7 linked regions of the Mus musculus genome follow. The protein of the gene in region 3 interacts with the protein of the main gene of each other region in a pairwise test. Links are inferred from orthologs where the notes say so. Each region holds a gene or a part of one and is shown on either strand. Other genes may lie near its edges.

Region 1 (3,500 bases), on a different chromosome or scaffold from region 3:
TACTATCCCCCACCCCCAACAGCTAACCAGTCAGGAGGTGCTGCTCCCACTGGGACCTAAACCTACAGTCAGGGAAGCTGAGGAAGGCCCTGCTTTTGGAGAGCACAGGACATCTGCGTGAGAATCAACCAAACCCTTGCCCAAACACAGAGCCTGCGTTCTTTGTGTATTCGCTTGGTTTGTTGTATTTATATGTAAGGGTGTTTTACCTACACATATATGCACACCATGTGCATTCTTGGTGCCTAAAACAGCCAAAACATGTCAGATCCCTTTGGAGTTACAGGCAGTTGTAAGCCAGCATGTGGGTGCTAGGAATTGAACACAGTCCTCTGGAAGAGCAGAAAGTACTCTTGACCACTGAACACTCTTCCATTCCAGATCCTAAGTTCTTTTTAGAAATTCCCACGCACTAAGGAATAAACCAGCCTTCAAATGGCACCAGAACACTCACAGAGAGCTGGCCCCCACACTGCAGCCAGAACACTCACAGAGAGCTGAACACTCACAGAGAGCTGGCCCCCAGACTGCAGCCCAACAACGCTGCTGGTGGCTCTGGTACATCTTTTCCTAAATCAAGGCACAGAACCTTCTGCCTGTCTAAAGAACGGGTCGCAAAGCTGCACTTGCGGTGAGAACTGGCTGCCAGACATGCTGCGATCAGGGTGTGCAACAGGGCGTGGTTTCCTGAACAGTCACTCCTCTTTCCAGAGGCGCCCAGGGATAGCCTGCTTAGCCTCTGCAGAGAAGGGAGGAGGGACTGTGGTCCTTAGTCTATGCAAGTGACTCTCCATAAGAGGACAGAGACGGACTTGGGCTCTTCCAGTCATCAGCTGAACAACAACATAGGCTGGGCAAAGAAATTCTCCTGGGGGGGGGGGGGGGGCTGGAGAGATGGCTCAGTGGTTAAGAGCACTGACTGCTCTTCAGAGGTCCTGAGTTCAAATCCCAGCACATAGTGGCTTACAACCATTCTTAATGAGATCTGATACCCTCTTCTGGTGTGTCTGAAGACAGCTACAGTTTACTTACATAAATAAATAAATAAATAAATAAATAAATAAATCTTAAAAAAAAAAGAAAAAGAAAAAAGAAACTCTCATAGGCATCCCACCCTGACCCAGACAACACACTTCCGCTCAAAAGTCATAGCCTGCTCCTTATCTAATCTGACTCCCAGGAAGACAGAAGCAAGCCATTGGCAGGCCCCTCCCAGTTTTGGCTGTTCTGCAAACTGTGTCATGTTCTTGGCTTGGAAAGCAAGCAACCAGAAAGCTGTAAGGCTTGGCATAAACATGGCTTCCTCTACAGGATCCTCTCTCATCTCCACCTGCCCAGACCCACGTAAGCGGTCCTTCCTCTGAAGCCACACAACACCTTCAGGTAAGCGTGAGAGGAAGTGAGATGCTCTCTCTCTTCCCAGGGCTAGTGTCATGTTCCTATGGAAATACAGGTGGAAATGAAGAGCAATGGGCTTCTGCCAGAACCAAGGGCAGAGGTAAAACTTATAGAGACTCTAAACTGAGCAAAATACTCTAGCAGGTATCAGGAAAGCAGCAAGCACACACGTCAAGGGTCAGCTCACACTCCTAGCCAGGAACCCTTCCCACTCGGCATCCACAGCACCCAGCCCAGTCTCACACTATGGATGCACATGTGTCAGCAACAGATCCCTGTCCCTACCTGGAAAAGCTGGTTCCTGTAGGGCCACTCGACTGCTATGACCAGCATCTGGCCTCTATGCTGCCCAGCATCTCTCAGCTCAGGAGTATAACCAGGCCACCCCACCCCCACCCAACCCCCACACACCGGTCATGTGACAGCATCACAGACAGGAGCTGAGTTAATTTCCAATTCCCAGAAGGTAGCAACAGAACACGACGGCCATGGACACCCCGCCTCTTGTGCCATGGCTCTCTATGCAATACCCAGCAGCTTCCTTGTTCTGCACCAAGAATCTTCTGCTGCAACATGAAGGAGTGGCTTTCTGCGGCATTAACACAGCAAGCCCCTAGTGTGGCAGCATCACTTAAACCAGCGGTTCTCAACCTGTGGGCACGACCCCCAAAGACCACCAGAAACAGATATTTACATTGTGATTCATAACAGTAGCAAACGTACAGATGGTTATGGAGTGGTAACCAAATTAATTTTATGGTTGTCAGTCACAACAAGAGGGACTACTTTAAAGGGTTGCAGCATTAGGGATGTTGAGAACCACTGACTTAAATGGACAGATATTCACTAGGAGGGACAGTTCAGGAACACTTGCCATCCCTTCCCCAATCTTCTCACCCCAAGTCCCCTGACTGGAGATGTGTTATCAAACCCACCAGGACGCAATAATGTGTGTGTGTGAATAGTGGTGCTAGGGACTGAACCCAGGGCTTTGTGGCTGACTACACCCCAGCCCTAAGCCCTTACAGAGCTTATGTATGTATTTCCATCTCTAACTGGCCGGCTGCCTTCAGCAACAGCACCACCTGGTGTGCAGACAGCAAACCATTTGACTGTTTTCTGGCCCAGCTTTTTGCTCCAGAGCAAGCGGGAACACACCTACCAGGTGGAGCTCAAACAACAGAGACTAACTCTAATTCGGTTCTTTCCTATGCGGGCTACCTGAACTCTGCAGATACTCCCATTTCTCCTGCCTGTACTCCAAAAACATTTACTAAACTCTATTGTCCAACTTCACCCTGTAAAAACGCCTGCTGTAGCTAAGTAAGGAAGCCCTTTGTCAGGGAGTAGGAGTTCAGAGCCACTCACCTCTCCGTTCCCTAATAAGGACACTTCTTCTTTCCTTCACGTCTGAGCTTAGGTTATCCACCATCTTACTAATGCAGTTGTCCAGAACCAGGGAGTTGGTTCTGGACTCAATGTCCTTTCGACAAATGGGACACTCTACTTTCCGTTTCATCCATTCATTGATACAGAAGGAGCAGAAACTGTGGGCACAGTTCAGGGTGACAGCCTGCAATGTGAAAGGGACACTCTTACTTTCTCAAGCACAACAGAGCGAATCTCCCAGGCCCACAGGCAGACTCACCACAGCCCCGCCTCACAGAGGCTCCGCTCTGCTCCGGCTGGCTCAGCACCCGGTTCTGCCTCCCTTTCCTCCCACTCCCCTCCAGTTCCCACAGTCCTAAGCAACCCATCAGACTGGAGACTACGCTGGGAATGACTTGCAGCCAAAGTGGCAGCCAAAGTGACTCCAGTCACAGACCTGGTCTTTCCGCAGGAGGCAGACACACCCAATCTTCCTAGGGGCTGCTTGGGAACAGCAGTCTCTCTGCACACCCATCTTCCTTTCCAAAGGTGTAAAAAAGACTAAAACTCACCTGCTACTCAACTGTATAAGCGTAACACTTAGCATAAAATGAATTGGTTACAAATGGTACGAAAATGTATGAAAATTAAAATAGCTGGTGTGATAACATGGCGAAGTAACAAACGGTAGCCTAGGAGACAGGTGTTTGCTTATCTTTTTTTTTTTTTTTTTT
Region 2 (3,241 bases), on a different chromosome or scaffold from region 3:
CTTACCCTGACAGCAAGGGATCTTGTGAAATTGGTCAGTTTCAGGAACTTCCTGAAACTATATGAGTTGTTTGCATCCCTACTTAAGGAACTTCCATGCAGGATGGGGTGTTTTAATTTCAAAGGAAACTGTTATACAACAGTCCTCACATAATGTTGTAGTTAGGGCTCAGCACATGACTCTGGATAGAGAAGTCTTCAGACAACATAGGTGACAGGAGATAGAGCAGGAGCTGTGGAGGGTGAAGACATCTTAGGAGAAATGCGCTCCTAAGGGCGAAGCTAGCAGATGACTGTCTTCCCAAGACGTTGGAGCTTGATGCTCCCTTCCTGGTAAACCACTTCCTCCTGCCTGGTGGCCAACTGGCATCCCTGAAAGGCCACCATTTCCCAGGAGTTCCGATGGCCACCAGACAGCAGGTTGGTCACAATCCACAGCTTTTGTCATAGAAGGGGAAGGGCTTTGATCTTACTGGATAGATCAGGCCAGACACCAGTATTCAGTGCCACCTGGAGGTTGGCTATAGGACTTGGTGGTTTGCTCAGACTGGGATCAAGGACACAGTGAGCAGGCATGATCTGTCCCTGTTAGCTATGAGGAAACTGCCAGGCAGCAGCAAATGATTGGGCTCCGGGCCCCCACTGTGTATGCTGTCCCCTGAGCCACAGGAAGGTCCCAGAGCACCCTTCTGACCAGTGCGGAGGAATGCTCAGGGGAAGGGTACTGCTGTCCCTGCACTATAGAGCACTGGAAGTACAGCTGCCTCCTTTCAGCGACTCACACGGTCTCAGTGCAGAGCCTGGACTGAGCAAGGGAAAGGCGGCAGTCTGAGCACACCTCCTCCCCAGGGCTGTCCATGAGGCATCTGAGCCTCCTGCCCGGCCCAGATGTCGTGTGACCTGCTATGACTCACTGGATCGTGAGTACTTGTTCCATGAACCCTGACACACAAGACAAGAGACCCTCAGCACACCTCAAACAATCGCCAGACACGGGTTGAGGTGCACAATATTCTCTGATTACTCCTAACTGGCTCCAAAGAACCAGGTCTCTGCTCAGAGAAGAGGAGATGCACAGAGGTACTCAGGGTTTGCAACTGGGGCAGGAAACCCCAGAATCCATGCTTAGATTTACAAGAGTCGCCTCTAATTGGGACTCCGAGTCGGGGCTATTTCTGGTGTTGGCGCGGCTCCAAGAAGGCACTCACTGTGTGCTGCCCCACACATAGAGAAGGAGAATGAGCGAGTCGGGCTCAAAGTCCAGCCAGCCCCTGGCCTCCAAGCAGGAAAAGGATGGGACTGAGAAGCGAGGCCGGGGCAGGCCACGCAAGCAGCCTCCGGTGAGTCCTGGGACGGCGCTGGTCGGGAGTCAGAAAGAGCCCAGTGAAGTGCCAACTCCGAAGAGACCTCGGGGCCGACCAAAGGGAAGCAAGAATAAGGGCGCCGCCAAGACCCGGAAAGTCACCACAGCTCCAGGGAGGAAACCAAGGGGCAGACCCAAGAAACTGGAGAAGGAGGAAGAGGAGGGCATCTCCCAGGAGTCCTCTGAGGAGGAGCAGTGATCACCACTCGCAGTGCCGCCTGCTCCATAGCCACTGAGGAGCAGCTGTCCCCTGGGACTGGAAGCCCTGCTCCCAGGCCCCTCCCCGCCCCCACTGCACACTACCGCACCAGGCACCAGCTGCAGGCTCTGCTCCGCAGCACCCAAGGGAGCAGGATTCGGCTCAGTCCCTGTGCCCTCCTCCCGAACACACCTGCCCCATCCTGACAAGGCTAACTTCCCATTTAGCCGCAGCCCGGCCTGCTGCGCACCTCCCTCAGAGCCGTGGCTCTCTGGGCGCTTTGTTTTGCGGGTCCCTTCTGCCCTGCTGTTCCTGGCTTCCCCGTAGAGGGTCCTGGGAGCATTCCCTGGCCTTAAGGGGCCCCGGCCCCATCTCACTCTGACAAGGCCCAGTGGCTGACCTAGCAGCAGCAGTGTGGTCAGGGCAGGGGATGCTTAGATCCCAGCATGTCCCCACCAAAGTATCACCGGGTGGGTTTCTCAGCCCCTCCTGCCCCACCCTACAGAGATCATGCACTGGGTTGGCTGAGCCCCTTGACAACAGGAAGTAGGATGATGTTGGCTCCACCCACTTTAATGTTCTCACCTGAGACTAGACAGATGGGGTTACCGCCCATCTCCAGAGTAAGGGCCTGTTCTCGCCTCCACCAAAGGCAAACGGGCACCAACACGCCTCCCCCAGTCCACTCTAGGCTGTTCCTTCCTCCCGCAGGGCACTAAGGAGCTAGCCTTGCCGCCCCCTCCTTTTCGCTCCTCCCTGCCCCCCATGGTTCTGGTTCCATCTTCTCCTCTGTTCACAAACTACCTCTGGACGGTTGTGTTGTTTTTTTTTTGTTCCATGTTCATTCTTAGATACCCACTATTGCTGCTGCTACCAGCGTCAGATGTTCATCCTCCTGAATTTGCCTGTATTCTCTCCCCCACACAATACACTCGAGGGGAAGGGGGGCTGGGGCGCAGCAGACTGGTTACCTACCCCACACTAAGGAAGATGGGGCCCCACCCCGTGGATGCTGCAGCAGAGTGAGGATGGGGGCCCACTTTGATGGGAAAAGGGTGTAGGGCCACCTCCCCTTGTTCTGTGGGGGAGGGGTGGCCAGTATTTGTCCCAGCCTGGGGCTTCCTCCCTGGTTTCTTATTTGCAGTTACTTGAATAAAAAACAAATAGCCTTTTCTGGACAGTCAAAAAAAAAAAAAAAAAAAAAAAAGATTTACAAGAGTCCTGCCTCAAAGTAAAGACGGTGCCTCAGTGTCTCTGCCAAAGGCGGAGTTCCTGGCTGGTACGGGGCAGCAGGTGAGGGGCACCTGGGAGGAACAGATTGAGGGGAACAGCCAGGGGACTCTCTAGACACACTGCAGGCATGGTGGGTTCTTGGGTCCCTGGGCATTGGAATCCAGTGTGCCTGCTCCAGCTAGATCACATCACTACCTTCATTTATAACAACAAAACAAAAAGTCCCAAGCTGATGCTTCTGTCCAGATAATTCCAAACCCAGCAATCTCACTGCCCTGGGCCGAGGGTGTGGCTCACATCACCGAGCATCACTGATGGGGCACCGTTGGCTTAGTATGCTCTCAGGCCCTGGGTTCAAGACTCCACATCTCATTGCTGAAAATTCAGATTCCTTCTTTAGGTTGCCCCTTCCTTCCCGCTACACTGCTGTGTCAGACCCTCTCACAG
Region 3 (3,500 bases):
CACTCCAGAAAGTAGAATCACAGGGTATGTTGCTTTTTGTATATAAAAGTCAGTAGCTACTTCTTAAGTTCTTATTTATTTATGTGAGTACACTGTAACTGTACAGATAGTTGTGAGCCTTCATGTGGTTGTTGGGAATTGAATTTTTTTAGAACCTCTGCTTGCTAGGTCAACTCTGCTCACTTAGTTCCTGCTTGCTCTGGCCCAAAGATTTATTTATTATTATGCATAAGTACACTGTAGCTGACTTCGGACACACCAGAAGAGGGCATCAGATCTCATTACATATGGTTGTGAGCCACCATGTGGTTGCTGCGATTTGAACTCAGGACCTTCAGAAAAGCAGTTCAATGCTCTTAACCACTGAGCCATCTCACCAGCCCCCTACTTCTTAAGTTCTTTTGTGGTGTTCTATTAACTACTAGAGGGGTAGCATGCATTGCTTGCTTACAAAGAAAATATTTGGCATATTTTATACATATTCTATGTTTACAGTATATAAAGAAATAAAATGTTGACGCTGAGCCGTGGTGGTGCACGCCTGTAATCGAAGTACTCAAGAGAAGTAGGACATACCCAGGGCTACACAGAGAAACTGTCTCAAAAAAAAAAGAAAGGAAGGAAGGAAGGAAGGAAGGAAGGAAGGAAGGAAGGAAGGAAGGAAGGAAAATCCCAACATAGTATTTGGAAATTCAACATTTCTAAATCTTGAACTTAATGTCTAGCCTGGTATCCTTCAGAGTCTTGAATAACATGTTCATTAAAATGTTTATTATAAATTTAAACCTGAAGCCGTGCACAGAGGCTCGGAATGGACTTCACATTTCATTACTGCATGTCTTTCCCTCTCTCCTTGGTGAACCCCAATTTTTACTATGAAGGGAGATTTCGGTTTACATACAAAACTTGTGCAGTATAACTGAATGTGCCATCAAGTTCCCAGTTGATTGGTTTTTGAGACAGAGTTTCTCTGTGTAACAGCCCTGGCTGTCCTGGAACCACTTTGTAGACCAGATTGGCTTCAAACTCACAGAGATCCACCCACCTCTCCCTTTTGAGTGCTGGGAGAGAAGGTGTGTGTGCGCCACTGCTGTGTGAGCCAGCTCTAGGTCAGGTTTTAATTCAGCCTGAGGATGCCTTCATAAAGCATCTAGTGTAAAGTGCTTAGATGTCGTGTCAGTCAGGAAGTGTGTTGCCATGCAGTGCCAAATGAGAGGGGCTCAGATTTCTTTCCTCCTCTCAGCTCAGAGCAGGCCATCTGGGTACAGTTCTGAGCACAGTCTGCAAACGCCATAGTGATCTTCTCTCCCTCCATTTTTGTTTTTCTGTTCTAGTTACAGTCTGATGCTGTGATAAAACAGATGAAAAGCAACTTTGGGGTCACAGCTTTATCATCAAGGGAAGTCAGGGCAGCTTTCAAGCAGAAACTGTAGAGATATACCATTGCCTTGATATACCATTGCCCTTTCATGTAAACTCTGGCCTGGGGAGGAAAAACAGCCCAGAGGTGCCTGAAGCCATCTTGACCTGCACAGTTCACTCCTGTCCTCTTCTGTTTCAGGCTGGAAGTTAAGCCCAGTAGTTGGAGCTGTGTATGGTCCTGAGTTATATGCAGGTACGAGTGCACTGTTTTCCTGTCTGCTACTCAGTGACCTCTGGTTTCTCATATGCTTACATCTTTGTAACCTTTGTGGGTTTTGTTTTGTTTTTAATGCACTTAGCATCCAGCTTTCAAGCTGATGTGTCCCTAGGCAATGAGGCGGCTGTGCCCTTGTCAGGAAGAGGAGGCATCAACACTTACATCCCTCTAATCAGTAAGTAGCCTACACTGACCTACCATGGGTTTTTGACGGTTGCCACATGTGCTAGTTTGGTCTGTTTTTGTTCTAGCATAATGCAGAACTGATGGAAAAGAACCATTCTTGACAGAGTAATAGATACCACAATGCCCTGTTTTATGTAACTCATACTAGAAACATCCACAAAACAAAAATCATGGGAAAGTGTACAGATGAACATGTAACTATCCTACCTGGATGTGATCATAAGGAAATCAGAAGATAAGAGCATGTCTCGCCTGCATTACTGAAGCCTGCTCATCCCACCCACTCTCCTCTGGAGTACCACTTAGACATCTCCAGTGTCCGTGACAGGCCACTTTCTTGCTGTCTCTAAAGTCACTTTTACCCAGGCCTGTTTCCCCTGGCAAGAGGTGTAACTAAACCAGATTCCACAGAGCAGGATGTTTGTACAAGGCTTCCAGAGCAAGGAACACTTAGAGCCAGCTTTTGTCTGTCTCGCTAAAGGGTGCAGGATGCCGGGCGCCTGAGGAGACCAGGCAGTGGCAGTGCAGCCTTTAATCCCATCACTCAGGAGGCAGAGGCCGGTGGAGCTCTGTGAGTCTGAGCTCAGCCTGGTCTATAGAACTAGTTCTAGGACAGCTAGGGCTGCACAGAGTAACCTTGTCTTTAAAACTCCTGTTTATTTATCAATATTAAAGAAATTAAATTACAAATAAATTCTCTAAAAACTATTGTATGCTTGGAGCATTAAAAATATAAAGAAGTTTCCTTTTGAGTAATAATTATTACATAATAACAGAAATGAAATTAATAGTTGGCCAATTAAAAAATATATTAACCTGATTTAAATCAGCAACAGAAATTAAAACGTGTGCATCTTACTATGATAAAAGAGTTTCTTATCAGTTCTCATAATGACTGGAAAAACCTGGAAGAAACAGGGTAAGCTCAAGACCGTGACAAACAAGTGGGGCATGGAGTCGTCATTAGGTCATCCTGTATCTCTCTTCCCACCCCCTCCCCCAAAGCCCCGTGTTAATTAGCATGTATGCTTGCTGTCTTTTCAGGGAACATTCGGTGCCTGTCTTCTACCTTTTCCATAATTGATTCTCAGTCTAGCTTTGTACCAGCTTCTGAATGCCAGTTGAAATTTCTGTCATATTTTGGGTCTCCCTTTAGTTCCTGGCTTCCCTTACCCAACTGCAGCCACCACGGCAGCTGCTTTCCGAGGAGCCCATCTGAGGGGCAGAGGGCGGACAGTGTATGGTGCAGTCCGAGCGGTACCTCCAACAGCCATCCCCGCCTATCCAGGGTAAGCATTAGATTCCAAAATCACCATTTCTAAAATAAGTAATGGATACAAAAGAAGGGAAGAAAGAGTGCTCTGGCCCTCCCTGATTCCTAGGATGTTGCTTGACAGCATTTAGATGCTGTGTGAATATTTGCAAATTAATGGACTAAGGGCAAGAACCAAAATACAGAATTTTGACCAAGGGTCATCAATATATAAACACTCATTTTGGCTACCTTAAGCCTTTGTGGTGACAGCTTAAGACAGTGGCCAGAGCCATCTTGTGTTTGCTAGCAGTGTGTTGGCATGGAGTTCACTCAGCAGCGCACGAGTGTGGATTAACACTACTACAGAGAAGTGAGGAGGGAGCTGGAGATCATAGTGCCAGACTGTGTCTGCTCTGCTCA
Region 4 (4,069 bases), on a different chromosome or scaffold from region 3:
GTGAACCTTCGACACTACTTCTGGGAATTCAGACTTACACAGGCCCTTTGGGAGTCCACCTAGCAGTACTTAGCTCTATGAGGTTTGTATGAGCCAAGACTCAAACGTCCTCCTAGAAGGAAGCTGTGGATACATGTGGGAGCCTGATAAGCAATGTCAACCTTCATTCCAGTGTGAGCCTGAACAGCTGAAGCCGAGGTAAAGTGCACACTATGCTGACAGTGGCACATTACACTGCAGTCAGAAGGAACACACTAGATCAAATTATAGTATTCTAGAGAAAACGTCATGTGTGTGTGTGTGTATTGGCAGTAAAGAACCAGGAGGAGGAGTAATTCTATGAAACTCTCCCCTCTGGACACATGCACAGAGCACCCATGAATACCATCTTCGTAAGAGCAAGTCACCAAAATAAGCAATATTCTGTCAGGAAGCACTAACTGGACTCTGTTGGTTATGAGTGGGGTACAGAGGGAGAAGTCACAAAGTGGGAATTTACAGGGGGAGTGGGAGGAGTTAGAAAAAGTTTATGGTCCAATACCATTTATGGAAAAACAAAAAACCCTTTAAAAAGCACACATTCAACACAAAACAGCACGACCAGAAGCTGTGTTCATGAGAGCATGGTAGGATGGGATGGGATGGGAAGGAGTGGGGCGATGGACAACACTGACAAAGGCCCACACATGAAGGACTTTACACAGCAAGTGCAGGGGAGGCCACCCCTGGTGTTTGGAAATCCTTTGCCAGAGGAGTCACAATCAAACTTGGCTAGGTGACAAGGAGACTGGTAGCCTCAGCAGAGACAGGAGAGTAAGGAGAAAACAAAACTGAAGCTAGCCACAGCCTGAGAAACCCTCTTGCCTTTCTGGGTAACTTCCTAGTGTGGTGTGGACTTCAAGGGTGACTCGGGTGTTTAAGGCAGGGCTGGCAGACCTTACCTGTGTTCAGTCAAGACCTTTGACTCTCTCCTGTCCTACATGGACAGCACTGGCCCTACCAGCAGGCGCTCTTGACTTACAGACAACCTGCTCTGCTCCCCACCTCGACACCTTCATTCCGGAGCAAGAAATAATCGCTAGGGTCAGGTAAAGCTCACAGCCTCACTGTGGTAAGGTGAAACGGATACTCCACAGAAAACAGAAGCTAGACAGGCCCAACACATCATGTGGCTGTCCTCTGCACCTTGATATAAAATATCAAGTGTCCCACAAGGCTATGGTTGGCAGATAACGAAAGCATATGTTTGTACCATGTAACTTCCTCAGATGAAGACTCAAAGGCCTGAGAGTGGCTGCGACCTATGAAAGGTTAGAGCAGGGCAGGCTGGAGATTCTTCCAGACAGACTGGTAAGGTAAAGAAAGGTAAAGCTAGCTGTCTTCTATAGACAAAATCCTGAGGCTAGAAACATTCCTTAATGGCCACTGGGCTCACCCTAGTGCCTCTGGGCTAGAATGCAACCAACCAACCAACCAACCAACCAAAACTGCACACATAAACAGGTCATTCTCTCTTTATAATCTTCAGACTCCCACAACACAATGCCAATTTTTCTAACTCGTATCTATGGCCATCTCCATGGCCCTCCACTGACCTTATCTCACACGGCTACAGAGCTCTCATGGGGAGTAGCCGTGCCCTCAATAAGGAGACCAATCAATGCCTGTTTGTTCAAGTCAACAAACATGTTCTTGAGATCAAATATTACAAGCCCAGCTCTATAGCACTGGAGGCAAAAAAGCAAAGAGAAAGTGGGCAGCATGACTCTTTAGCTGCTGAGTTGGTATTACCCAGTCAAGTGCGTGCTTTGTTCCTCTCATCACCCACAGAAGGAGGGTGGCAGGAGGCAGCTAGAGGACCAACACAAATACCTGCTGAGTCCAGCAAGCATTACTAATCTGCTGGCCACAGGCTGGAAAATAAAACTCTCTAGTAGATAAATTAACAGTTAATGGCCTCTCAATTTTTAACTAATTAATTAAAAAAAATTTTTTTTTGGCTTCTACCCTGAAAACGCATACCCATCAGCAGAGAATGGAGGCAAGGGCAGCCTGAGCCCAGAAAGTACTTCAGGAGAACGGACAGCAAGAATCAAACGCAGCATTCAAGTCTGAAATCCAAACACTGTCCCCTCGAAGAAGGGGTCCTAGAATATGGCTGAGTAGGTCAAAGTTCACTGCCACACCAGTGCTTGAATCCAGATGCTTGGAGTTGAGGGTGTAGCACGGAGTATTCTACGGCAGATGCTTTGGGTAAACTGGTGGATGAGGACCTTGAGGAAGCTACTAGCCTGTCTCAGTCAGATCCACACAACCCCGGCTGTGTCGGGGACGCCTTTACACGTCCGTTCCCGAGTTTACACGCACGCTGTGCCCGTTGTCGGCACCAGCACCAGGCGCGCTAAAGTGCGGCATCAGAAGCCTCGCTCGGGCCCTGGCTTTGGCACGGTCAGGGCAGGCCTTTGGGCCTCGGGCTGCAGACTCCCCTCCACCCGCGTACCTGGTCGCCCGTGCCCAAGGCATAGTAGCCGTTTGTCACCACTTCCCAGTGCAGGAAGCAGACGAGTGCGTCCTGCGGGCAGCTCATGGATGGAGCGGCCGACGCGAAGAGAACCTCGAGACCCGCCATGGATGTTTGCGGCTTCTGTGGGAAAGGAAGAAAAGGAGGGGACTATGCAGAAAGCCGCTCCGCCTAAGAGAAGCGGGACCGCGAGCGGCAGCGACGCCTTTTGATGCCGCCTTCGCTTTCGGCTCTGTCCGCACCTGCGCGGAAAAGTGGAAACGCGGAAACGCAGAGACGCGCACCGGAAATACTTGTTGACTTTGTGCGTGCTCCGGGCTGGAAACACCTGCACCGAACTAGAAGGTTCCACTAAGAAGCGCGCAGGCTAGGGCTTATCTTCTCAAAGCCTTTTTGCCTGCAGCAGGCGACTGCTGAGTGCCAGGCTGTTCGTTCCTGGGGAGAGACTGCCTTCTACCAACTACAGTAGACTTCTCATCTGCGAAGTGGAGTGTGTACTAGGCCGGGGGAAAATTTAGGCAATCTGTCTTAGATGTTTTCATCGTAATTTATTAGCATGCCTGCAGTACTTCTTGCCTGATAGCACTTTATTCTACATGCTAAACTTTAATGCATTTATCAAAATTTCCAGATCCAGTATTATACAGTTGGTATTGATGACAGTACTCTGCCACTACATAGATTTGGAAATCGTGTCACAATCAGCCAGTGAGCAATAGAGGTGCCCCTGGGAACTGGTAATTTGGTCTCTAGGATAGCATTTATATGTATGTTGATTGCATGCTAAATCCTGTGCCAAAACCTTTACATCCCCTCTCAACAAATTCATGGGGTATATTTTATTACCCATCCTCACTTTGCGAGTGATATAAAGAGCAGAAAGAGTGAAATGACTTCACCCAAGTAAACACAGCTTTTGACCACATCTAGAGCCCAGAGATAACTGACAAATGCTAGCCACTTGTGCCCCAATCTCCATCAAGATTTTTTTAACCACCTGTTGTTTCTCCATGTTTCTTGAAGTCCAATACTTTTTTGTAGACAAATAAATTTTGCCATGTTGGTTGGTACCATGACCCAAACCATTGTCATTTTTTTTTTCTTGGTTGCCTGGCATCAGCCTTGTATGCTACACTGGTTTCACCCTACAACCAGAGAGATTCTGTTAAAACACAGGGAAGACCATGTTCCTTAGGCCCAAGCCACACCTCAAAGGCGAAGTTCACTCTAGGTCTGTCACCCTCTCACTCCACAGGCCCTGTGCCTTTCTGATATCACCTCCAAGTGTCCTTTCATTCTCTGATCTCCTTGGCTCCAGTGACCTTGACTTCTCTCAGCTCTCATGCCTAGGTTAACATGCCACAGGTCTTGCCCTGATGGAACTTTGTAGTGTTTCTTTTTAATAGACAAAAAGCAATCCAGTATGAAATCTGTCATTTGGGGGTGCTGAGAGAGCTATACAAGGCCCACAGGAAGCCTATGTTCCAAGCAAGGATCAGGAAGGGTTTCTTGGATTAAGAAATGGCCAATTGCACAGAACTCTCATGG
Region 5 (4,286 bases), on a different chromosome or scaffold from region 3:
CTGATGCTGGTCTTTTATATATATATGTACATATATATATATGATTTATTTATTTTATGTGTATGAGTGCATAATAGCTGTCTTCAGATCCGGGTGGTGGTGGCGCACGCCTTTAATCCCAGAACTTGGGAGGCAGAGGCCAGCCTGGTCTACAAAGTGAGTTCCAGGACAGCCAGGGCTACACAGAGAAACCCTGTCTCAAAAAACCAAAAGAAAAAAAAAAAAAAAAACTGTCTTCAGACACACCAGAAGAGGGCATTAGATCCCATTACAGATGGTTGGGAGTCACCATGTGGTTGCTGAGAATTGAACCCAGGTCCTCTGGAAGAGCATCTGGTACTCTTAACCGCTGAGCCATCTCTACAGCCCCAGATGCTGGTCTCTTTTGTTTGTTTGTTTGTTTGTTTTTTTCCAAGACAGGGTTTCTCTGTGTAGCCCTGGCTGTCCTGGAACTCACTCTGTAGACCAGGCTGGCCTCGAACTCAGAAATCCACCTGCCTCTGCCTCCCGAGTGCTGGGATTAAAGGCGTGCGCCACCACACCCGGCTCAGCTGGTCTCTTCTTAATCACCGCTAATTTCTTAGCTCCAGCTAACCAGCATCAATTGTCCCAGTAGTCTCTTCTCTTTTTCACTCTAAAGCCAGAGCCACATGCTGGAACATCACCCCACCCCCAACCCCATTCTATTACCAGCTTTCTGTTTTCCACCTCCCTCATTGCCTAAGCTTGGCTGTCCTGGAACTTGCTCTGTAGATTGACCTTAAATCCAGAGATCTGCATGGCTATCTCCTAAATTATGGGATTAAAGACATGTACCTCCACACTTCTCTCTAGATATCTCTAGTATAAAAGCCAATATTTGGGGGGCTGGAGAGATGGCTCAGCAGTTAAGAGCACTGACTGCTCTTCCAGAGGTCCTGAGTTCAATTCCCAGCAACAACATGGTGGCTTACAACCATCTGTAATGGGATCTGACACCCTCTTCTGGTGTGTCTGACAGCTACAGTGTAGTTAGATATAATAATAAATAAATCTTTTTTAAAAGCCAATATTTTGTTCTGTATCCATAATCCCAGCACTTGAAAGCCTATGTCAACCTAGGAAGTTCCATACCTGGGCTCAAAACCAAACCAAACCCCAAAATGAAAAAAAGAAAACCATGGAGGTAGTCAGTAAAATTAAATTTTATTCAAAAAAAGAATAATGAACTGACCCCTGGCAGTGTATCTGTCCACCGAGTGCAAAAGACTCCTACCCTGGCTTTGCAGTGTTTACAAACTTCTGGAAGGACCTCCGAACTTCCGTGCCTCCTCAAAGTTCCGGCTTCCACAGCGGGGTGGGTCAAAGTGACGTTGCTTCGCTCTCATTCGCCCACCTTTCTCTACGAGGGCGGGGCCTATCCGTACAGCCGCGTCTGTCAGATTAGAGGCCCTTCCGGGGCCCTGACTTTCCGACACTCTAATTGGCTTTTGCTCGCTCTGGGGGTGTGGCCAAGTCTCAGCCCCTGTTCTTAAACTACGTCCTCACGCAGCGCATCCGTCGCGGTAGTCCATACGTCATCGGCCGGCTCCCACCCTGAGACGACAGGGACTCGACCGTAGAACCCGCTGCGGCTGCTGGAAGGAGCGGTGAAGGCTATGGCATCAGCGATGGCCGGAGCAGGGCCGGCTCCGGGACTCCCGGTGGCGGGAGGGCCGGTGGTCCCGGGGCCTGGTGTCGGCATCCCGGGCAAGAGCGGCGAGGAACGCTTGAAAGAAATGGAGGCGGAGATGGCCCTGTAAGGCCCTGAGTAGGAGAAATAAAAGCTGTTCCCGGGCAAACCCAATTAACCCTGTAGCCTCCAGGTCTTCAGAAGGTTGAGATGTGGTTCCATAAGGGGCCGTGGGACCCGAGGGATGCGGGGAGGCATTAGCTGGGATGAAGGCGCGGTGGAGAAGTACCCAGCACCTCAGGCTTGGTGAGACCTGACCTATGGTATCTGTCCCGCTCCCCCAGGTTTGAGCAAGAAGTATTGGGAGCTCCGGTGACCGGAATCCCAACTGCTGTGCCTGCGGTGCCCACGGTAGAAGCGATGCAGGTCCCCCCAGCTCCTGTGATCCGCCCAATTATCGCCACCAACACATACCAACAGGTAAGGTGAGAGCTACAGCTTGAGTCGGGAGAACAGAATGGTTTGGTCCCAATAAGGGCTTATCTATGGACAGCGATTGATGTTTTGGCTGGCATGACCACTTAAGTGCCAGGGACTCAGGATGCAAGACAGTATATTTAATCCATTGGAAACTAATATTCTACAGTGCCTGTCCGGTAGAACTTTCTGCAGTGTTAGATTATTCTATATAAACATCTCTTGAGCCAGGCATGGTGGCGCACACCTTTAATCCCAGCACTCGGGAGGCAGAGGCAGGTGGATTTCTGAGTTCGAGGCCAGTCTGGTCTACAGAGTGAGTTCCAGGACAGCCAGGGCTATACAGAGAAACCCTGTCTCGAAAAACAAACAAAAAAAAAAATCTCTTGAAAGTTTTTATTCACAGATTTGGGGTGTAGTTCAGTGGTAGAGCACTTAGCCTGGCAGAGTCCTATTTTCTAAGCCCACTACCACCACAAAAAAACCAAAACAATATTAAAATGTATATCTGTGTTGTCATTCCCAAGACTCATGGATAATATTCCAGGTGCTTAATAGTCAGCTGTAAGAAAGAAGCCGAGGAAAGAAGGAAACAGGGGGGAACTATTTAGAGGAACACCAGCAGAGAAAACGTGTTTATTCTGTTCACAGTTATTAGGTGGGCTGGGATGCAGCTTAGTAATAATCTCATGCCTGGCATGTCAAAGCCGTGGGTTCAATCCCTTGCATTGTGGAGGGAACAAAAAAGATCAAAGGCACTCTTGTGCCTTCTCAGCACTAGGCACTGTTCTAAGCAAGGGGTGTATAGGAGAAAACAAAACAGAAAAGTTCCCGTTGTTTCTTTGACCTTACAAAGTGGTAAGAGTTTTATTAGCAGTCAGGGAAGGCCTTTTTGATCTGGTATTAGTAAAGCAAAGATATAAATGAGATGACTGAACCATGCAGATGTCTGGAGTGATGTTATCCCAGGCAAAAAGTTGTCCATGCAAAGACTGAGACAGCATTGTCTTGTTCATGCAACAGCAGAGAGGTCAGTGGCTAGAGAGGAGCAAACAAAAGGGAAAATGGAGAAGATTAAAACAGTGATGGAAGCTAGATCTAGCAGGGTCTTCTGAGCCACTTTAAGATGAAATGAGGAACTACTAGAGAATTCTAAGGTGGGTGGTAATGGTCCAACTTATAGGTTAAGCATGTAGCTTTGGCTGTCTTGATAATATACTAGAGAGAGCAAGGGTGAGTTCAAGGAGATGGAGAAAGAGGCTAATAATCTAGGTAAGGTAGAGGTAGACAACAGGGAGAACAGGTCGAACATTAGTTAAGATAGTGTGGGGTCTGCAGCCTCACTCTGAACATACCTGCTCTCAGAAATCACAGGGCCCTGGTTAGTCCTTGGATGGGAGATAGTGCTGTAGGGAACTGAGTCAGAAAAGTTGATCCTGGGAGATATTAATAATAAAAGCTTAAGCTATTAAGTGGTGGTGGCACATGCCTTTAATCCCAGCACTTGGAAGTCAGAGGCAGATCTTTGTGAGTCTGAGGTCAGCCTGATCTACAGATGGAGTCACAGGACAGCCAGGGTTACACAGAGAAACCCTGTCTTGAAAAACAAACAAAAACAACAAAAATAGCTTTATTTAGTATGGCGACAGAAGCCCCAGTGAAGAGACCTTGTAGCAGACTCTGACTGGTCACCAGACCCATAAAATAAAGGGTAAAAGTATTAACCTGCCAGGGGAGCCAGCATCTCTGAGCCACAACTCCTCCCCAATAGGTCCAACAGACTCTGGAGGCCAGGGCAGCTGCTGCAGCCACAGTTGTTCCTCCCATGGTGGGAGGCCCTCCTTTTGTGGGCCCAGGTAAGTGACAAAATGAGGGGTCCTGTTTCAGGCAGGGTGGTAAAAGGGGGTGCCCAAAGGTTGCCTCCCACCATCCTCATCTCTTCCTCCCCACAGTTGGCTTTGGCCCTGCCGATCGTGGTCACCTGGACAGTCCTGAGGCTCGAGAGGCCATGTTCCTGAGGCGAGCAGGTAGGTTGGGGACCAAGACCTCACTTTTGGCCAGGCACACTTGTCTGGGTTCAAGAACTCTGGCTCTGCCCTGCTGCAGATCCCTATCTCCATCCTGATACTGTCTTCACTCAGTACATCCCTGACCATGT
Region 6 (3,500 bases), on a different chromosome or scaffold from region 3:
GGGGGGGGGGGGGGGGGCAGTTTTAAGAGGTACACAATTAGAGTTAGATAAGAGGAATAAACTCTAGTGCTTCCTAACAACAAAATGGCTACATTTAAGAATTTATTGTTTATAAACAGCTAGAAGATTTCCAACACAAAAGAACTGAAAACAATCTAAAGTGAAAAAAAGGGAAAGTCAGGGAGAATAAGAGAGGAATAAGAGGAGAAACAGCTAAAACTCAGGGTCACTTGAGGAATAGTATGGAAAGAAACCTACTATAGTAGAAGTAGTCACAAAATATATACATATATGAAAGAAATATAAATGGAGTCACTAAATAACAGGGAGACCAAGTCCAAGTAGACATCTCTCATCATCAAATGAGACATCCAATCTTTGAAATGCATTACATCTAAAGTTCTTGTTAAAGGAGCTCTATAGAACCCCAACAGCCAGAATATATTACTGAAGCTACTTACTGTTTGCTCTTCACAAACTGACAGTAATATCCTATTGCTGGAGGCAATATTTAAATAACTCATTCAACAAGAAGGTAGGTTAGTGCCTACCTAGAGCCTTCACTCCTACTGACTGGTGTTCATGGTAGTAGAAGGACTCTGCATACTGTATACAAGAGGAGACAGGTTCACACCAATCCAAGTATGATCTATTTGTTCTATAATGGTGGCCTAGTAGATACACAAGTGCAATAGTGATACAAACATTATGGGAGTAACTACCACTATCTGACTGGAATTAAGGCCCACTTCATGAGATGGAACACCCACATGGCCAGGAACCTGAGACAAGAAATCCAAATACTACTGTTCTGATAAAAGAACACAACAATAAAGTGACTTTCAATGACATTCAGCTATACTCATAGATAAGTGTCTTGCCCAGCCAATATCAAGAAGCAATCGAAGGGAACAAATATAGAGACATACAATTGGACAATATACAGATAAGAGCCCTTGCTTGGGAGACTCAGTACTAAAAGGAGTGTCTCCGTCTAATCTCTTATTTCTGTGCTCAGGGAACTTTGCAGAAGTGGAGGGGGAAATATTCTAAAATGTGCCATAGCTCTCATGTGAAATTCAGAGGACAGCTTCCAGAAATTGGTTCTCCCACCACTGTTGAACCTGAGACCAAACTCAAGTCAGGCTCATCAATCAACAAGAAATTCTATAAATGAAAAAGTGGGTACTCCAAAATCTTATCTCACCACTAGTTATTCCCCCACTAAATTAAAGAAACTGGCTAAAATTTTCTAGAACTCACTAATAATCTCCTAAATCAATGTTCTTCTTCTATAGTACCTTTTAGAATAAAAGTAAATTACAAAAGCAATGACTAGAAAAATAAAATGGGTAAATAGTAAACTATTAGACCATTTTCATTTTGCTACATTAGTTAAACACATGTGTTGTTAGATACACAGCACTGTAATACTTTCCTGTCTATGAAACTGCAACTAAATACCCACAAGTCCCCTTTGCACTGCTTTTCAAGACCACACAGTTACTAAGGAAAGGAAAGAGGATAAGATTGAACAAACAGTGCATATTTACAAACAATCTACATGTCCATGTTCCTTAAGTATCTATTGACAGAATTTGTATCAAATTCTTTCTTTGCAAGAAACCAATTTTGTCAAATGAATGGGGAAATGTTTCTAATGTATGAGGTCACTTAGAAAGTGGACTATGGCCTGGCAGTGGTGGCACACACCTTTAATCCCAGCACTTGGCAGAGGCAGGTGGATTTCGGAGTTCAAGGCCAGACTGGTCTACAGAGTGAGTTCTAGGACAGCCAGAGCTACAGAGAAACCTTGTCTCGAAAAACAAAACAAACAAACAAACAAAAAAAAAAAAAGAAAGAAAAAAGAAAGTGGACTATGAGGACAATAAAGATCAGATTGCTAGGATATAAACAACAGTAGATCCCAAAGACATTCATGGAAGCAACAAAATGGCTTTGGTGACAGCACACTAACAATAGATTTTCCTAGCTTCTTTAAGAGCAGCCAACTGAAATATTTCCATGAGAAACATGAGAAAGATGGCTTCATAATCTACTTAAAATCATTTTCTTCTCATTTCCCACTGGGGGGAAAAACAGTACTCTGATATTATGCAGCAATATAAATAAAGTGAAGAAGAGTTGAGGGAAGAAAATGGAGAGAAAGAATGGAAAGAGGTGTTAAGCCTCATGCGATGCCAGTCTCAAATTTTACTTTCAATTTCTGACATAAGATTTCTAAATATGACCTTGAACAGTGTTTGTTAGCTGATAAGTGTAAGAAATATTTGGAGTAGTGTCTATGAAATCAGTAAAACTCAGGTTTCAGAAAGAACACAAATTTCACTATGCAATAACAAAGTTTTACTGTGCAACATTAACTTATTTACAGAAGAAAATATGCCAGAAGAGAACCTAGCATATGAGCAAACTCTACTTTCCCACAGCACTAGTTACACTAGTAACTAGTTAATTTTTGAATGACTATTACGTAATCTTTTTGGATTTTGTTTTTTGCTTGTTTGGTGGTTTTTGAAACAGGGTCTTTCTACATAGCCCTGACTGACCTAGACTTACTATGTATAAGGCTGGCCTAGAATTTGCAGGTATTAGCCTGCTTCTGCCTCACAAGTTTTTGGGAGAGACTGCATGCATGTGCCACCTTGTCCAGCATACTTAACTTTTTTAAGAAAAAGAAGACAGAAAACAAACCAAAAACTTTTAATATCCTGATAGATAAATCTAGATTCTTCCTATAACAGAGCAATTTAAAAGTCTACTGTGTCTTTTAAAAAGTAGGCTAGTTAGGCTTGTTTCTCTACCACATCACTTCCTTCACAAAAATAAGCAGGGATTTTTGAGCAATCCTGTCTTTTACACTATATACTTAATGAGCCACACATTATTTTTATATTTGTGGTTAAATAAAATCTCTAACAGATAACAACTCATACTTTATTAACATTACAATTTCAAGTCAATCTAAAAAGGAAAAGGTAAAAAAAATTCAAGATGAAAATTTACTTACCGCAGGTACCAGTAACTTCTTCACTTCTTCAACCGCTCTCTTCAGCTTGATTTCTGCTCTGTTCTGAGCATCTTCCACAGTGATTAGTACATGTAAGTCTTCATTTAGATGCTCCCAATTGGGCTTGCCTCTATTTTGCTCCTCCTTTAAAAGAAAAAAAAAAAAGAAAAAAAAAAGAAAAGAAAAAGAAAAAAGCAATGTTACTAATACTTTTTTTCCCCCAAAGACAAAATACACCTTTTGTAACAGGCACCTAGTGCCAACTACTTAAAACCATCTTTTTATTATTTTGCTAGGATGACAGTACAAAGCTTTTCAATTAAGTTTCCAAAGTAATCAAAAGCCTTGCAATGGGACTAGTCAATCAAATGAGAACTCAGCAAACATATATGCTGCACCTATTATATATCCAGCTGAAGATAAAAGTGACCAAGACAATCACAAGAGATAGTATTGCTACTCTAGAAAA
Region 7 (4,234 bases), on a different chromosome or scaffold from region 3:
ACAGAGAACTGAAATTTTTTTGGTAAGCAAATGGTCAGTAGTTTTATTTCGGCATTTACTAAAGTCTTAAATATAATCACATATAAAACAAACATTTCAGAGTTCCAGGACAGCCAGGGCTACAAAGAGAACCCTGTCTTGAAAATCCAAAAAGAACAAAATAACCCCCCCCCCAAACAAAACCAAACATCTCAAAAGTACAAAATACAGCCAGGCGTGGTAGTGTACACCTTTAATCCCAGCAATTGGGAGGCAGAGGTGGGCGGATTTCTGACTTCCAGGCCAGCCTGATCTAGAAAGTGAGTTCCAGGACAGCCACAGCCAGGGCTATACAGAGAAACCGTGTCTCGAAAAACAAAAGAAAGCTGTTACACACACACACACCCCCTTGTATTAGCTGTGCTTCGTGATACATGCCTTTAATGCCAGCAATTCACAGCACTATGGAAGCAAAAGTAGGTGTGTTGCTTGAGTTTGAAGCCAGCCTTATCTAAATATACAGTAATTTTGCGCCAAGGCGTAATATAATAGTTAGACCCTACCTCAAGAAACAAGTAATCACTTTTGCATTTACTTTTAGATCCAGTGTGCCCAGGCCTTCCTTCAAATCAAACCATGAATCTTTTTTAAAAATTACTACAAAAACGGGCATAATACAGACAGAATGGGGCTGACAAAGCGTGCCTAAAGCCTGCCATGCCCAGTAACTACTAATGGGGTGTGGTCGAGTTAGTACTCCAATCTAGAGGTGGAGCTGAGTGATCTGGAATTCAAGGTCATCCTCTGTGGCTACATAATGATTTGTAACTTAAAAAAAAAAAAAAAGGCTGGTAAGACTAATGGCAACACGAGGGAGATAAGAAAAGCAGAAAGTTCAAAATTTAAGTCAGGATTTGGTCTGTAAGACTGTTCTCAACTGAGATCTACCTCCGAGCGCTGAGCGCAAAAGCATGCATAGCCACCCGGCGTACTCAAAAGTACTTCGACATTGTTCAATGGGCTAACGCACTTTTTGCCAGACCTTAGCTACCTGCGCTCAGTCTGAATACACAGATGGAAGAACTGAACCACGTTTTGACCTCCACTCCGCAGCACGAAGGGAAGAAAGACTTAAGTATTAACTATTTCCAGATATCGTCTGTCTTGTTCAACTAGAAGAATTAAATATTTAAACCACCCCCTGGACAGAGCGATAGATCATTGTGACAGGGACCCTCAATTCAATCCCAAGGACCCAGTGCTGGAAAAATCCATTTCTTCACCTTATCCCCTCACCTCCACGCACAAATAAACATTAAAGGAAACCGACTAAAATAAGCCCAAAAGTTCCGTAAACAAAACTGCCCAGGTTCAGGAGACCGATCCCGCACAGCCACATGGCGGCCACCCGCGCTCGCTCGCCCGCTTACTCCGCAGCCCGACTTGCAGGTAGGAAAGAGGCCCATTTGTTTGTTCCCGGACTGGCAGGGGCAGAAAAGGTCGCTGGGTGGGAGTCTTAGGGCACATGGGGCTGCCTCTCCGATCCCGCCGGGTCGGGAAGGCTCCGGAGAGCACGCGCCGAGGGAAGGCCGAGCGGGCCCACCTCAACTTTTCCCAGACACGTGAGGCTCCACAAACACAGCACAAAAGTGCTCGTAACTGCGGCTAAGGCCGACTAACCCACCTAGGCAAAGACTCCGCACCCCACACGCTAACACGATACCTCTGGGGGACGGGACCGGCGCAGACCGGTGCTCCTAGCTCCCGGGCCGCCACGAGGAGGAAGCGAGGCGCTCGGCTTCGCTCGGGCCGGGCGTGGGCGGTGGGCGGAGCCGTCCCGCCCAGTCTTGTGAAACTCCGGGCGCCTCGGGCCACGTGAGCGCCCGCTCGTCTTTCTCCAAACTACAACCACCGCCCGGGCCTGCCGGGGGGCCGCTGACAGAGCGTAAGCCGCGGTGGGTGAGAAGCGCTCCACCCTCACCCCCCCCCCCAATATCCCGCCGAGGAAGCCGCGCCTGCGGGCGGGGTGGGGGGGCGGCTCTGAGGAAAGCCGCGCTTTCTCCGGGCGGGCGTGGGCCGCGGCTGCGGTCTCCCAGGCCCTCCGCACACCTCAGCCCAGAGGCCCGGCCCTACCGACCGGACTCCAGCCCTCAGTCCCCGCTCCCCCGACCGCACACCTCGGCCACGCGGCCCAATCCCCGTCGAAAATGCGCTGAACTTCGGCTCCCGACCCCAAACCCCGGCCACGCGGTCCCCAGCTCCGTGGGCAGCCTCCGCACGGCTATGGCTGTGCGGCGGCCACCTCGGCCCCGTTCCTTCCGAGTCCGGATCCCACGCCCGCCATCCAACGCCCGCCGGGCCCAGGCGCCAGCACACCCCGCCGGCGGCCCTCACCTCCGGCTTCTCGGCTCCACGCTCCCACTCACATCCGGACCTCGCCGGCCCTCAGAGCACCTAGAGGAGGGTGGAACCCCGGGGACTTGGCAGTTGTAGCTGAGGCAGTTGAGGCTTGTTTACTGTCACCATGGAAACCCCCACAGGCGCGCTCGCGGGACGGCCTCAGCGGGGCGAGTCAACCGCGCGGCCGGCCTGCTCCTCAACTCCCGCCTGCCGAGCGCCAGCGGCGCCTCCGGAAGCCCTCCTGATCCCCGGTCCGCTCCCCGCTCGGCCCACGCCCCGAGCACCCGGAAACAGTAGCCCGGGGAGCCCACTTTCCCTTCCCACAGCCGGCGTGACCGCGGGCTGGCCTTCCCCGAACCCCACCTTCAGGAAGACGAGGCGCAGTCCTCCTTCCACGACGGAGCCGGAAGGATGCAAGACGGTGATGGGGCGGAGCCTCAGGCAGCGGACATCCGGGCACAGGGCAGCCGCGGCGCCATTCTGACGAGCCCAGAACGGAGCCTAGGATTGGCCGGGGGAGGGAGAGGGGCGGGACTAGAGAGCTGTGGACCCGCCTCTGAGTCCCGGAGAGGACAGTGACGGCGCAGGCGCAAACATTGCGGGGGGGGGGTAGCAGGGGGAGGGGGCGGGCAAACGAGGGGGGGGGGGGAGACAGCAAGGTGGAGGGGGTTGTCCATAAAGAGACCTGTGGGCTGGTGAGTCGGTGGACGCTGAATTCTGCACGCGTGTCTCCGCATCCCGAAAAGTGATCCCAAAGGAATCAATGACCGCATGCGTGCGGAAAACTAGAATGGTGTCTTATGTAAAAGAAAGACCGCCTAAGGGCATCTCAGGCAGTCCGGAGGGATTTGTCTGAAGTTTCTAACTCTCAGCACTATGTGAACGCTGGGACAGATTTTCTTGATGTGTAATAATTTGGGAGGATTCTCTGCGAGATGTCGAGATACAAGCTAAAGTGAAGATTATTTTTGAAGCTTCCAGAGCCGCCTAGGCGGGCGTAGGAACACGAGCTGGTTCCTACGAACTCCATTTCTGCATGGAGGCGGCCGAGGCTACAATGCATGGTCGCGAGCTGCTGTCTATATAAACACTGGAGAAATTACAAGGCCGTTCAGAATAATCTCTGGTTATAAGTGAACTACAGTGATGAAGGAAACGTTTATAAAACAACACACCAGACTAACTCCAGAAAAAGGAAAGAAAACTTTGAGAGGAAAACCTGTCCAAGAAGAAAAATAGAAGTCAAATGATAGAAAACAGATGCTACAAAAGTTAGATAAGTATTCGTGAGCACTAAACCCAGAGCCTTGTAGTTGGCAAATTACATCCCCCACCTCTGATGTTTGTTTGTTTGTTTGCCCAGGGAGTGGGGCATTAAAATTGTTAAGTTCGTGCGAGTTATCACCACACTTTCAACTGAAGTCAGAGGACAATCCTGAGTGTTCTCTCCTTCCACCATGTGGGGTCCTGATCAAACTCAAGGTTGAAAGGCCTGTGCAGCAAGTTCTGCTGAGACCTCTCACCCTGCTCCTTGGGTGGTTTTATTTATTTTTAAAGTTCCTTACTATTGCCAGAGAAAGGTGCAAGTGACTTCTAACCTTGAAGAAGCCAGAGAGCAACTTTTCACAAGTATTTTCATTTCCCTTAGGTGAGTTCCAGGGGTCAAATTGAAGTTCCCAGATTTTTACAGCCAGAGGTTTCACTTTTGAGCTCCCTCTGTCTGACTGCAACCCAGGCTGGCTTCCAACTCTTGTTTTGTTTTGTATTGTTTCTTTTGGTTCCCCACACCCCCACCCTAAGACATGGTATCTCTGTTGTAAAGCTGGCTGTCCTGGAACTCACTATGGCTCCAATT

Evidence for each region.
Region 1: the proteins of Rbfox2 (region 3) and Rnf8 interact in binary tests that used the Homo sapiens proteins (3 or more experiments, as listed by UniProt). The two-hybrid records come from large-scale screens. The link is inferred for Mus musculus from reciprocal best matches to the Homo sapiens genes RBFOX2 and RNF8.
Region 2: the proteins of Rbfox2 (region 3) and Hmga1b interact in a two-hybrid assay, tested with the Homo sapiens proteins (2 studies listed by BioGRID and IntAct, with this or other methods). The link is inferred for Mus musculus from reciprocal best matches to the Homo sapiens genes RBFOX2 and HMGA1.
Region 4: the proteins of Rbfox2 (region 3) and Psmf1 interact in a two-hybrid assay, tested with the Homo sapiens proteins (2 studies listed by BioGRID and IntAct). The two-hybrid records come from large-scale screens. The link is inferred for Mus musculus from reciprocal best matches to the Homo sapiens genes RBFOX2 and PSMF1.
Region 5: the proteins of Rbfox2 (region 3) and Rbm42 interact in a two-hybrid assay, tested with the Homo sapiens proteins (2 studies listed by BioGRID and IntAct). The link is inferred for Mus musculus from reciprocal best matches to the Homo sapiens genes RBFOX2 and RBM42.
Region 6: the proteins of Rbfox2 (region 3) and Qk interact in binary tests that used the Homo sapiens proteins (3 or more experiments, as listed by UniProt). The link is inferred for Mus musculus from reciprocal best matches to the Homo sapiens genes RBFOX2 and QKI.
Region 7: the proteins of Rbfox2 (region 3) and Hnrnpf interact in binary tests that used the Homo sapiens proteins (3 or more experiments, as listed by UniProt). The link is inferred for Mus musculus from reciprocal best matches to the Homo sapiens genes RBFOX2 and HNRNPF.

The regions. Positions count from the first base shown.
Region 1 is NC_000083.6:29,635,289-29,638,788, reverse strand, and holds part of Rnf8 (E3 ubiquitin-protein ligase RNF8), read right to left. Parts: intron 2,972-3,500; coding exon 2,767-2,971; intron 1-2,766. UniProt on the Homo sapiens protein: E3 ubiquitin-protein ligase that plays a key role in DNA damage signaling via 2 distinct roles: by mediating the 'Lys-63'-linked ubiquitination of histones H2A and H2AX and promoting the recruitment of DNA repair proteins at double-strand breaks (DSBs) sites, and by catalyzing 'Lys-48'-linked ubiquitination to remove target proteins from DNA damage sites.
Region 2 is NC_000077.6:120,761,652-120,764,892, forward strand, and holds Hmga1b (high mobility group protein HMG-I/HMG-Y), read left to right. Parts: upstream 1-1,142; 5' UTR 1,143-1,237; coding exon 1,238-1,339; coding exon of another isoform or gene 1,340-1,372; coding exon 1,373-1,561; 3' UTR 1,562-2,741; downstream 2,742-3,241. UniProt on the Homo sapiens protein: HMG-I/Y bind preferentially to the minor groove of A+T rich regions in double-stranded DNA. It is suggested that these proteins could function in nucleosome phasing and in the 3'-end processing of mRNA transcripts.
Region 3 is NC_000081.6:77,097,554-77,101,053, reverse strand, and holds part of Rbfox2 (RNA binding protein fox-1 homolog 2), read left to right. Parts: intron 1-1,561; coding exon 1,562-1,615; intron 1,616-1,721; coding exon 1,722-1,814; intron 1,815-2,969; coding exon 2,970-3,114; intron 3,115-3,500. UniProt on the Homo sapiens protein: RNA-binding protein that regulates alternative splicing events by binding to 5'-UGCAUGU-3' elements. Prevents binding of U2AF2 to the 3'-splice site.
Region 4 is NC_000068.7:151,738,511-151,742,579, forward strand, and holds the start of Psmf1 (proteasome inhibitor PI31 subunit), read right to left. Parts: upstream 2,801-4,069; 5' UTR 2,645-2,800; coding exon of another isoform or gene 2,630-2,644; coding exon 2,501-2,629; intron 1-2,500. UniProt on the Homo sapiens protein: Plays an important role in control of proteasome function. Inhibits the hydrolysis of protein and peptide substrates by the 20S proteasome. Also inhibits the activation of the proteasome by the proteasome regulatory proteins PA700 and PA28.
Region 5 is NC_000073.6:30,647,429-30,651,714, reverse strand, and holds the start of Rbm42 (RNA-binding protein 42), read left to right. Parts: upstream 1-1,486; 5' UTR 1,487-1,637; coding exon 1,638-1,777; intron 1,778-1,995; coding exon 1,996-2,131; intron 2,132-3,899; coding exon 3,900-3,984; intron 3,985-4,080; coding exon 4,081-4,155; intron 4,156-4,286. UniProt on the Homo sapiens protein: Binds (via the RRM domain) to the 3'-untranslated region (UTR) of CDKN1A mRNA.
Region 6 is NC_000083.6:10,235,862-10,239,361, forward strand, and holds part of Qk (protein quaking), read right to left. Parts: intron 3,176-3,500; coding exon 3,032-3,175; intron 1-3,031. UniProt on the Homo sapiens protein: RNA reader protein, which recognizes and binds specific RNAs, thereby regulating RNA metabolic processes, such as pre-mRNA splicing, circular RNA (circRNA) formation, mRNA export, mRNA stability and/or translation.
Region 7 is NC_000072.6:117,905,348-117,909,581, reverse strand, and holds the start of Hnrnpf (heterogeneous nuclear ribonucleoprotein F), read right to left. Parts: upstream 2,801-4,234; 5' UTR 2,743-2,800; exon of another isoform or gene 2,473-2,742; coding exon of another isoform or gene 1,741-2,472; exon of another isoform or gene 1,664-1,740; intron 1,479-1,663; coding exon of another isoform or gene 1,377-1,478; intron 1-1,376. Other genes in the region: uncharacterized protein 4933440N22Rik, read left to right, coding at 1,377-1,478, 1,741-2,472.